Linked DNA regions of Saccharomyces cerevisiae S288C. The gene in region 1 interacts genetically with each later gene. Each region holds a gene or a part of one and is shown in the gene's direction. Other genes may lie near its edges. The genes, in order: LTE1, RTT109 and NUM1.

Region 1 (3,837 bases):
ATTATCGCATTCTGGTACAGGTGATGCTAACATGCCATCTCTTTTCCAAGCAAGATTAGTGGGTTCTGACGTCGGACAAGGCCCCCGTGACATTGCTCTAGGTTCCTCCGTTGTTTCCATCAAAAACCAAGCTCTTGGAGGATCTCTATTGCACTCACATATACAAACTTATCCAGATGGGTCCAACCAACAACAAGTAACCTGTTATGGTTACAAAGATGCTAACAACGAATGGTTTTTCAACAGAGAAAGAGGCTTACCATCATGGTCAGAAAACGAAACTGACATCGAGTATTTGAAGCCAGGTACCTCCTATAGATTGGTACACAAAAGCACGGGCAGAAACTTGCACACCCACCCAGTTGCTGCACCAGTGTCAAAGACACAATGGGAGGTTTCTGGTTACGGTGACAATGTTGTTGGTGACAACAAAGACAATTGGGTTATTGAGATCATGGACCAAAGAGGAGATGAAGACCCTGAGAAGTTGCACACATTGACCACCTCTTTCCGTATCAAGAACTTGGAGATGGGCTGTTACTTGGCTCAAACCGGTAACAGTTTGCCCGAATGGGGTTTCAGACAACAAGAGGTTGTCTGCATGAAAAACCCATTCAAGAGGGACAAGAGGACCTGGTGGAACATCGAGACCCACGAAAATGAAAGGTTGCCACCAAGACCCGAAGATTTTCAATACCCAAAGACCAACTTCTTAAAAGACTTCATTCATTTAAATCTAGCCATGATGGCCACTAATAACGCTTTGGTGCCAGATCCAGACAAATTTGATTACTTAGCTTCCTCAGCATGGCAATGGCCAACTTTGAATGTGGGTTTGAGACTATGTGGCTGGGGTGATGATAATCCAAAATACTTCCTATTGGGTACCCCAGCTTCCACGTGGGCTTCTAGTGTTGCCGTCCTCGCATTCATGGCCACGGTCGTTATCTTACTGATCAGATGGCAAAGACAATATGTGGACCTAAGAAATCCATCTAACTGGAACGTTTTCTTAATGGGCGGGTTCTACCCACTACTAGCTTGGGGCCTACACTACATGCCATTCGTTATCATGTCTAGAGTCACCTACGTTCATCATTACTTGCCTGCCTTGTATTTTGCACTGATCATTTTGGCGTACTGTTTCGACGCCGGTTTGCAAAAATGGTCCAGATCTAAGTGCGGCCGTATCATGCGGTTCGTCCTATACGCCGGATTCATGGCACTTGTAATTGGTTGCTTCTGGTACTTCTCCCCAATATCATTTGGTATGGAGGGACCAAGTAGTAACTTCCGCTACTTAAACTGGTTTTCCACTTGGGACATTGCCGACAAGCAAGAAGCATGAATTAAGATCATCGTAGTAAGTACATAAGTAAAAAACAAGAATTAAATAAAATTTCTATATCAACCAGCAGAAGAAGTGGTCTATATAAACCACTATATAATGAATTTCGATAAACACTCTTTAATTGTTAACCAGGCTGTTCTCCTTACTCATCTTTGCGATCCGATGCTGTTTTATTACCCTTCTATTTTTTCCTTTCTGCATTTTGATTTTCGCGAATAATGAAATTCTTGATCTTTTTATCAACAATGAAAAAAAAACTGTAAACAGAAACTGATAATTTCTTGAACCCTTTAGCCCACCCCAACCGTACTCGTGTTATTCGCTCGTTGATTTACGCGAACCTTTTTGTTTGCTTTACATAGCCTCTAGCCATTCAAAGATTCGCTACCCTGAACCATGGAAATATTTAGCCAGAAAGATTACTACCCGACTCCATCCTCAAATGTTATTAGCTATGAAAGCGATTGTGTATCCAAACCAGTGAATAGTGCAGACCTGCCCGCGTTAATTGTACACCTTTCTTCCCCTTTGGAAGGTGTAGACTACAACGCATCTGCAGATTTTTTCCTTATTTATAGGAATTTTATAACGCCTCAAGACTTACACGACTTACTCATCTATAGATTTCGATGGTGTATTAGGGAGATCACAACAAATGCTGCAAAAGCTAAGAGAAGGCGAATTGGTGAAGTTGCCCTCGTGAGGACGTTTGTGTTGTTGAGGCATTCCATACTGAATTATTTTGTGCAAGATTTTTTACCGAACATAACATTAAGACTTCGGTTGATCGAGTTTCTAAACGACAAACACATTGAACAGTACCCAAAAATAATTTCCAGCTGTATAATCAATCTGAAAAAAAACTGGGTGCATTGTTCTAAGTTGGTTTGGGAGAATATTGAACTAAATGAACCTGATAAATTAGACTTTGATGCATGGCTGCATTATTCGTTAAAGGATTTCACGCAACTAGAAAGCCTACACAAAAGAGGAAGCCGACTGAGCATTTACGCCAGGCAAAGTTTTGCCAGTCCTGATTTTCGTAACCAAAGCGTTTTATCATTATATAAAACTTCTGATGTATTTAGACTGCCGGAGAAGCTACAGTCTTCAAATTCTTCCAAAAACCAGAGAAGCCCTTCTATGCTTTTATTTCCCGATAATACATCAAATGTTTACTCGAAGCACCGAATAGCGAAAGAACCTTCAGTTGATAATGAAAGCGAGGACATGTCAGATAGTAAACAAAAGATCAGCCACTTGTCAAAAGTCACTCTAGTATCCACACTAATGAAAGGCGTAGACTACCCGTCATCATATGCAGTCGATAAAATAATGCCTCCAACACCGGCTAAAAAAGTTGAATTTATTCTGAATTCCTTATATATTCCTGAAGATTTAAATGAACAAAGCGGAACGCTTCAAGGTACATCGACGACATCATCTCTAGATAACAATAGCAACAGTAATAGTAGATCTAATACATCTTCAATGTCTGTGTTACATCGCAGCGCTATTGGTCTTTTAGCTAAGTGGATGAAAAACCATAATCGCCATGATAGCAGTAATGATAAAAAATTTATGAGTGCTATTAAACCAGCAAACCAGAAACCTGAAATGGATGCGTTTGTCAAATACGTTGTATCAATATCATCTCTCAATAGAAAATCTTCCAAGGAAGAAGAGGAAGAGTTTCTTAACTCTGATTCTTCTAAATTTGACATCCTAAGTGCAAGAACCATAGATGAAGTGGAGTCCCTACTGCATTTACAAAACCAGCTGATAGAAAAAGTTCAAACACATTCGAATAACAACCGAGGTCCTACAGTTAATGTTGATTGTGAACGTCGGGAACACATACATGATATAAAGATTTTACAACAAAATAGCTTTAAACCGAGTAATGATAATTTTAGCGCTATGGACAATTTGGATCTGTATCAAACCGTAAGTTCAATTGCTCAGTCAGTCATCTCTTTAACTAATACTTTAAACAAGCAACTGCAGAACAATGAATCGAATATGCAGCCATCACCCTCGTATGATGCACTGCAACGAAGGAAAGTAAAAAGTCTCACGACAGCATATTACAATAAAATGCACGGTAGCTACTCAGCAGAAAGTATGAGGCTCTTTGATAAAGATAATAGTTCTTCACGTACAGACGAGAATGGACCTCAAAGATTGTTATTCCATGAAACTGATAAAACCAACTCAGAAGCGATTACAAATATGACACCAAGGAGGAAAAATCATTCCCAATCCCAAAAAAGCATGACTTCTTCGCCTCTGAAAAATGTTCTACCTGATCTTAAAGAATCGTCTCCCTTAAACGATAGTAGGGAAGACACAGAATCAATAACATACTCATACGATTCCGAGTTGTCATCCAGCTCTCCACCCAGAGATACTGTAACGAAAAAGTCAAGAAAAGTCAGAAACATCGTGAATAATACAGATAGTCCAACTCTAAAAACAAAAACTGG
Region 2 (3,583 bases), on another chromosome or scaffold:
AGAGTATTCAAGCAAGCGCGTATCGTACATGGAGGAAAAGAATACAGTATGGGAAAATATCGAGCGAACATGTTAAAACGGCATTTTGTGCAAAATATCTTGGTGTGTGGAAAAGGAGGATGCTACAAATGAATTCTATGAATGACGAAGCATCCAAATTTTACGAAGAGGGTCTCGTAAATGAGTGTCTAGCTATATGGAAAGAACGCCTGATTAAAACTAAGGAATTGGAGGATAGATACAATTTCTTATGTAAGACACATGCAATTTTGACTGTAAAACGGACGCTAATGCATATTGATAATGTTCATTTGCTATATACGAAACTGGCGCCCTCTATGGATAGAGTAAAGCTTTCTAAGGCCTTTTTAAAGTGGCGGAAAGCCACAAGGTTCAAAGTCAGGCATAAGTTAAACGATATTTTACACGTTTATGAAAAGAGTAAAGAGCGCGAACTTCAAAGCCAACTGTTCAACGCTTGGCGAAATAGATTTTGCTTCTACACAGAAGAATGTAACATTCAGGCTATTTCAAAGAGAAACTACCAGCTTGAAAAAATGGTGCTGAAGAAATTTAGAGAAAGACTTTTAGAGATAGTAAAATCAGAAGAATTAGCAGACGAAGTTCGCGAAGAATTTGTGTTAGTCAAGACGTTTTATATTTGGAAAACTCATCTAGACGAAATATTTTATATGAGTACATTATTGGAACAATCGGAAGCTAATAAACAATTCATAATTACATCCAAATTCTTGAAAATGTGGAGTCTTCGATTCCTAAAAATTAAGCGTAATGATGAGACAGTCGAGGTGTTTCGTCATCGGTGGGACAGGGCCACTGTAAGGGGATTGTTATTATTATGGAAAAATCGTTCAGACAGTTCTCCAAAGAGAAGGAAGGACTTCAATCTTAAACATGAACTAAAAACTCCCATAAGATCAGACTCTCAAAACGCCTCAACCATACCAGGCTCAGAAAGAATAAAGCAGCACAGAATGGAAGCGATGAAGTCGCATTATAGCAGGGCAAGAAGAGCCATACCAAGTCCGGTGAAATCTTCCAGTGTTCTTGATTCTACAGCTAAAAAACAGATCAACCTTGAAAGTACGACAGGCTTAAACGGATCTCCGACGCGAGGAAAACCTCTAAGGTATTCTCCTAGGCGTACCACTAGAAACATGCCATCCAAAGTTGACCATATTGATTTTGGCAGAATACCCGCTGTACCTTTTAGCCTAAGCGCCAATTCTCCTAAAATCGATCAAGATATGGATTATATAAGAGAGCATGATAAATCCCCGTTAAGTCGTAAACGTCAATAGATATATATATTATGTACGTATGTATGTGTGCATATGTAGTCGTAACCTTTCTTGCTTCTGAGATGCATACAATTACTAATAATATTCTCCAGGTCTATGAAAACATCACAACATACTATACTTTTCGTGTTCGCGTTGTAAGCTATAATGGAAAATGGACGCCATAACGCATTACTTAACAAACTACAGTTTGTCAATAGAGTTGTCCAGTAGAGTTAAAAGGTCAATTCAACCGGTCTTCAATAAGACATGTCACTGAATGACTTCCTAAGTTCCGTGCTACCTGTCAGTGAACAATTTGAATACTTATCGTTGCAATCTATTCCGTTAGAAACCCATGCTGTCGTAACCCCAAATAAGGACGACAAAAGGGTCCCAAAAAGCACGATCAAGACTCAACACTTCTTTAGTCTATTTCACCAAGGAAAAGTTTTTTTTTCATTAGAAGTGTATGTGTATGTCACGCTTTGGGATGAAGCAGATGCCGAACGGTTAATATTTGTATCAAAGGCAGACACTAATGGTTATTGTAATACGAGGGTAAGCGTTAGAGATATTACAAAAATAATATTAGAATTTATATTATCAATCGACCCGAATTACTATCTTCAAAAAGTAAAACCGGCAATAAGATCATATAAGAAGATATCCCCCGAGCTGATTAGCGCAGCCAGTACGCCAGCAAGAACTTTAAGGATTTTGGCTAGAAGGCTTAAACAGTCAGGCAGCACCGTTTTGAAAGAAATAGAATCTCCACGTTTTCAACAAGATCTTTATCTCTCATTCACCTGTCCTCGTGAGATTTTGACCAAAATTTGTTTATTTACTAGACCTGCATCCCAGTACCTCTTCCCAGATTCTTCAAAAAACAGCAAAAAGCATATACTAAATGGCGAGGAACTAATGAAATGGTGGGGCTTTATTTTGGATAGATTACTAATTGAATGCTTTCAAAATGATACACAAGCAAAATTAAGGATACCGGGCGAAGATCCTGCTCGAGTAAGATCATACCTAAGAGGGATGAAATATCCACTATGGCAAGTGGGTGATATATTTACCTCTAAAGAAAATTCTCTTGCGGTATATAATATTCCATTATTCCCAGACGATCCTAAGGCTAGATTTATACACCAATTGGCAGAGGAAGATCGCCTCCTCAAAGTAAGCTTATCATCCTTCTGGATTGAACTACAAGAGCGTCAAGAGTTCAAATTAAGTGTCACATCATCTGTAATGGGTATTTCGGGATACTCTCTTGCCACTCCATCTTTATTTCCATCTAGTGCCGATGTTATTGTACCGAAGTCAAGGAAGCAGTTTAGGGCAATCAAGAAGTACATTACTGGAGAGGAATACGATACAGAGGAAGGCGCAATAGAAGCTTTCACCAATATTCGTGATTTTCTATTGCTCAGAATGGCAACAAATCTTCAATCTTTAACAGGGAAGAGGGAGCATCGGGAGAGAAATCAGCCGGTTCCTGCAAGCAACATCAACACGTTGGCGATAACAATGCTAAAACCGCGTAAAAAAGCTAAAGCCTTGCCTAAAACTTGATACATATTGATATTTATTATTTAGTACACGTATGTAGCATCGATCTTAGAAAATGCATGTTTGTATTTATTGTTAGTACCTTGATCGCCACCTTTCTAGGTAATGATAGGTCCTCAACTTTTACTACGCGGTGCACGCCTGTAAGGTCGGGCAAAACAAAGTGTGGGAACAATAAATAAGAGGGTAGGATGAAATATTACCTTTACTCTACTGCTCAGGTTGGCCACAATTTGCTAAAGAGTTTATCATTAAGTAGCTACCAGCGAATCTAAATACGACGGATAAAGAATGGCTAGTTTAGAAGATCTTATTCCTACTGTCAACAAGCTGCAGGATGTTATGTACGACTCCGGGATCGATACACTCGATTTGCCCATTTTAGCTGTTGTTGGGTCACAATCCTCCGGGAAATCCTCGATATTGGAAACGTTAGTTGGAAGAGATTTTTTACCTAGGGGTACTGGTATTGTCACAAGAAGACCGTTAGTTCTTCAACTTAATAACATATCTCCAAATTCTCCTCTAATAGAGGAAGATGATAACTCAGTTAATCCACATGATGAAGTTACAAAAATATCAGGATTCGAAGCTGGTACGAAGCCCTTGGAGTATAGGGGCAAGGAAAGAAATCATGCAGATGAGTGGGGGGAATTCCTGCATATACCAGGAAAACGGTTTTATGATTTCGACGATATCAAAAG
Region 3 (3,600 bases), on another chromosome or scaffold:
GAGACAATTTGTCCATTAACAGTGACAGGTCTCTCTTTGACACCATGCAAGCCTAGGACGGCTGTTTGTGGTGAATTGATGATAGGAGTACCGTATAATGAACCAAAAACACCACCATTAGATATGGTGAAAGTACCACCCGTCATATCTTCTAGGGTTAATTTGCCATCACGCGCTTTATGACTCAAGCGAACAATTTCGTTCTCAATATCTAAAACACTCAATGACTCTGCATTACGAACGACGGGGGTAACCAAACCCTTTGGAGTGGCCACAGCAACAGAAATATCTGTGTAATCACGATAAACAATCTGGTCACCTTCAATGGCACCATTGACGGCTGGAATATCCTTGGCGGCCAAGGTACATGCTTTGGAGAAAAGACCCATGAATCCGAATTTAGTACCGGTCTTCTTAATAATCTCATCTTTATACAGTTTCCTCATTTCCATCAAAGCTGACATGTCAACTTCGTTGAATGTGGTTAAGGAAGCAGCAGTGTTTTGAGACTCTTTTAATCTTTCGGCAATCCTCAATCTCATACGGTTCATTTTGACCCTGGTTTCTGTACGTGGAAATGGTGTGAAAGAGTTAGAGGCTACTGGGGGTTCCTGCGCCTTAGAGACGGTCTTCTTTGGTTGATCAGCCTTTTTTGGTTCTGTAACTTCTTTCTTTGGAGCGGCTTCTTTCTTTGGAGCAGCTTCTTTCTTTGAAGCCGTTTCCTCACTTGAGTTTTCCCTTGCGGCGACACCTTGCGATGGCTCCGCTTGTTCGGTAGGCTCTGGCTTAGATTCTCCAGAACCCTCAGCAGGTGCTTCACCAGGCTCGACCTGAGCTAACTCCTCACCAACAGTGACAGTGTCCTCTGGTTTGAAATTTAGCTTCGTAACAGTACCTGATACTGGCGAATTGACCTCAATATCAATTTTATCGGTCTCAATAGTGGCCAACAGCTCGTCCTCCTTAATAAAATCACCAACGTTTTTAGTATATTCCTTTAAAGAGCCTTCAGTCAGGGACTCTGCCATCGGAGGAACTTCAATAGAGGTAGATTTAAAACGATTGCTAGTTATGGAGAACGGATTCGCCGCAACTGAAATTTTCTTGCCGGATAAATATATTGAACCTAAGGATTCGACCTTGTTAGCTTGTTTGAACAAACTTGTAGAAGCATGTCTCTTGACGAAAGAAGCAGCCATAACATTTCTAGCCACTTTAGATTTTACTAAGGATTTGGCAGCTGCAGTACGCGTCGCTCTGGAAAGCATTGTTTAAATAATTATCTGAAGTTGTGTCTTTGGTTGTAACAAATGTGGTAGTGAAGTTTATAACAATATATCTATTCACTGATATATACCGTTAAAGATAGCTGCCTAATTTTTTATTTCGGATTTTTCTTTTTTTTACGTTAGATATTTCCTCCCCTGAAGCTCAAAAAGAGATTATATATGAAAAGTAGGCCTAGTTGAGGGAAAAAGGATTTGCATTTGCTGATAGACCAAGTGTGGATCCGAGCCCTGTAGTAGAATGGTGCTAATGTAGAATAAGAATAAGCTTTAGGAACCATAGATTCCTGCGTAATTTGTGGCCGCTTTATTGGCTCACTCCGGGCAGGACCTTAGTTTTGATTGGCTGCAAAAAAAGGGTTGTTAATATCGTCTTTGACGGAGATGCGGGTGGCTGGAATTGTTTTGTTTATTATTCCCCAAGAGAGAAGAGACAAGAAGTAGTAATGACGATGGAACAAAGATCGGTTCTAATAGGACCACAGGGTTGAATAGAGACGAGTAAAGACGCAACGGTCAAGGCTTTCCACGAGACGTTCGAATATGTCCCACAACAACAGGCATAAAAAGAATAACGATAAAGACAGCTCAGCAGGGCAGTATGCAAATAGCATTGACAATTCATTAAGCCAGGAAAGCGTCTCAACGAACGGCGTAACAAGGATGGCTAACTTAAAGGCTGATGAATGCGGCAGTGGTGATGAAGGAGATAAAACAAAGCGGTTTTCGATTTCAAGTATTTTGAGTAAAAGAGAGACAAAAGACGTGCTTCCGGAATTTGCAGGCAGTAGTTCCCACAATGGAGTACTCACGGCGAATTCATCAAAGGATATGAACTTTACTTTGGAACTAAGCGAGAATTTGTTGGTTGAGTGTAGGAAATTGCAATCCTCTAATGAAGCTAAAAATGAGCAAATCAAGTCTCTCAAGCAAATTAAAGAGTCATTAAGTGACAAGATTGAGGAGCTCACTAACCAAAAAAAGTCCTTCATGAAAGAGTTGGATTCAACTAAAGATTTAAACTGGGATTTAGAATCTAAATTAACAAACTTGAGCATGGAATGTAGGCAATTAAAAGAATTGAAGAAAAAGACTGAAAAATCTTGGAATGATGAAAAAGAAAGCCTGAAACTTCTGAAAACAGATTTGGAAATTTTAACATTAACAAAAAATGGCATGGAAAATGATCTTAGCTCTCAAAAACTTCATTACGATAAAGAGATTAGTGAATTAAAGGAAAGGATTTTAGACTTAAATAATGAAAACGACAGATTACTTATTAGTGTTTCTGATCTAACAAGTGAAATTAATTCCTTACAGAGCAATAGAACTGAAAGAATAAAAATTCAAAAGCAACTTGATGACGCCAAAGCATCTATTTCTTCGTTAAAAAGAAAAGTACAAAAGAAGTATTATCAAAAACAGCATACTTCCGATACTACAGTAACATCTGATCCTGATTCTGAGGGGACCACTAGTGAAGAAGACATTTTTGATATAGTGATCGAAATTGACCACATGATTGAAACAGGCCCCTCTGTCGAGGACATTTCTGAAGATCTTGTCAAGAAATACTCAGAAAAAAACAATATGATATTGTTATCGAATGATTCATATAAAAACTTACTACAAAAAAGTGAAAGTGCATCCAAACCAAAAGACGATGAATTAATGACCAAAGAGGTGGCTGAAAACCTGAATATGATCGCGTTACCAAATGATGACAATTACAGCAAAAAAGAGTTTTCGTTAGAATCTCATATTAAATATTTAGAAGCTTCTGGCTATAAAGTTCTTCCTCTAGAGGAGTTTGAGAACCTAAACGAATCCCTATCAAATCCATCATATAACTATCTCAAGGAAAAACTTCAGGCTTTGAAAAAGATACCCATCGATCAAAGTACGTTTAACTTGTTAAAAGAGCCTACTATTGATTTTTTACTGCCTTTAACATCCAAAATTGATTGCCTGATAATACCTACCAAAGATTATAATGACCTTTTTGAGAGTGTCAAGAATCCATCAATTGAACAAATGAAAAAATGCCTGGAAGCAAAGAACGACTTACAATCGAATATTTGTAAATGGCTGGAGGAGAGAAACGGCTGTAAATGGCTAAGTAATGATCTGTATTTTTCAATGGTTAATAAGATAGAAACACCTTCGAAACAATACCTGTCAGATAAGGCAAAAGAATACGACCAAGTGCTGATTGATACTAAAGCCTTAGAAGGTTTAAAGAACCCAACGATAGACTTTCTAAGAGAAAAAGCTTCTGCATCAGATTATTTATTACTCAAAAAAGAAGACTACG

What was found.
Region 2: mutations in LTE1 (region 1) and RTT109 impair growth when combined (synthetic growth defect), as found in Saccharomyces cerevisiae (5 studies listed by BioGRID, with this or other methods).
Region 3: mutations in LTE1 (region 1) and NUM1 are lethal when combined (synthetic lethality), as found in Saccharomyces cerevisiae (3 studies listed by BioGRID, with this or other methods).

What each region holds. Positions count from the first base shown.
Region 1 is NC_001133.9:103,783-107,619, reverse strand, and holds the start of LTE1 (mitotic regulator LTE1), read left to right. Parts: upstream 1-1,747; coding exon 1,748-3,837. Other genes in the region: dolichyl-phosphate-mannose-protein mannosyltransferase PMT2, read left to right, coding at 1-1,348. UniProt on the Saccharomyces cerevisiae protein: GDP-GTP exchange factor for TEM1, a Ras-like protein, component of the mitotic exit network (MEN).
Region 2 is NC_001144.5:144,720-148,302, forward strand, and holds RTT109 (H3 histone acetyltransferase RTT109), read left to right. Parts: upstream 1-1,571; coding exon 1,572-2,882; downstream 2,883-3,583. Other genes in the region: SFI1 (Sfi1p), read left to right, coding at 1-1,322; dynamin-related GTPase DNM1, read left to right, coding at 3,171-3,583. UniProt on the Saccharomyces cerevisiae protein: Histone chaperone-dependent acetylase that modifies 'Lys-9', 'Lys-14', 'Lys-23', 'Lys-27', and 'Lys-56' on histone H3 (H3K9Ac, H3K14Ac and H3K23Ac, H3K27Ac, and H3K56Ac) to promote nucleosome assembly, genomic stability, DNA repair and transcriptional regulation during mitotic S-phase.
Region 3 is NC_001136.10:753,799-757,398, forward strand, and holds the start of NUM1 (Num1p), read left to right. Parts: upstream 1-1,829; coding exon 1,830-3,600. Other genes in the region: KGD2 (dihydrolipoyl transsuccinylase), read right to left, coding at 1-1,268. UniProt on the Saccharomyces cerevisiae protein: Controls nuclear migration. NUM1 specifically controls the interaction of the bud neck cytoskeleton with the pre-divisional G2 nucleus. Functions in dynein-anchoring.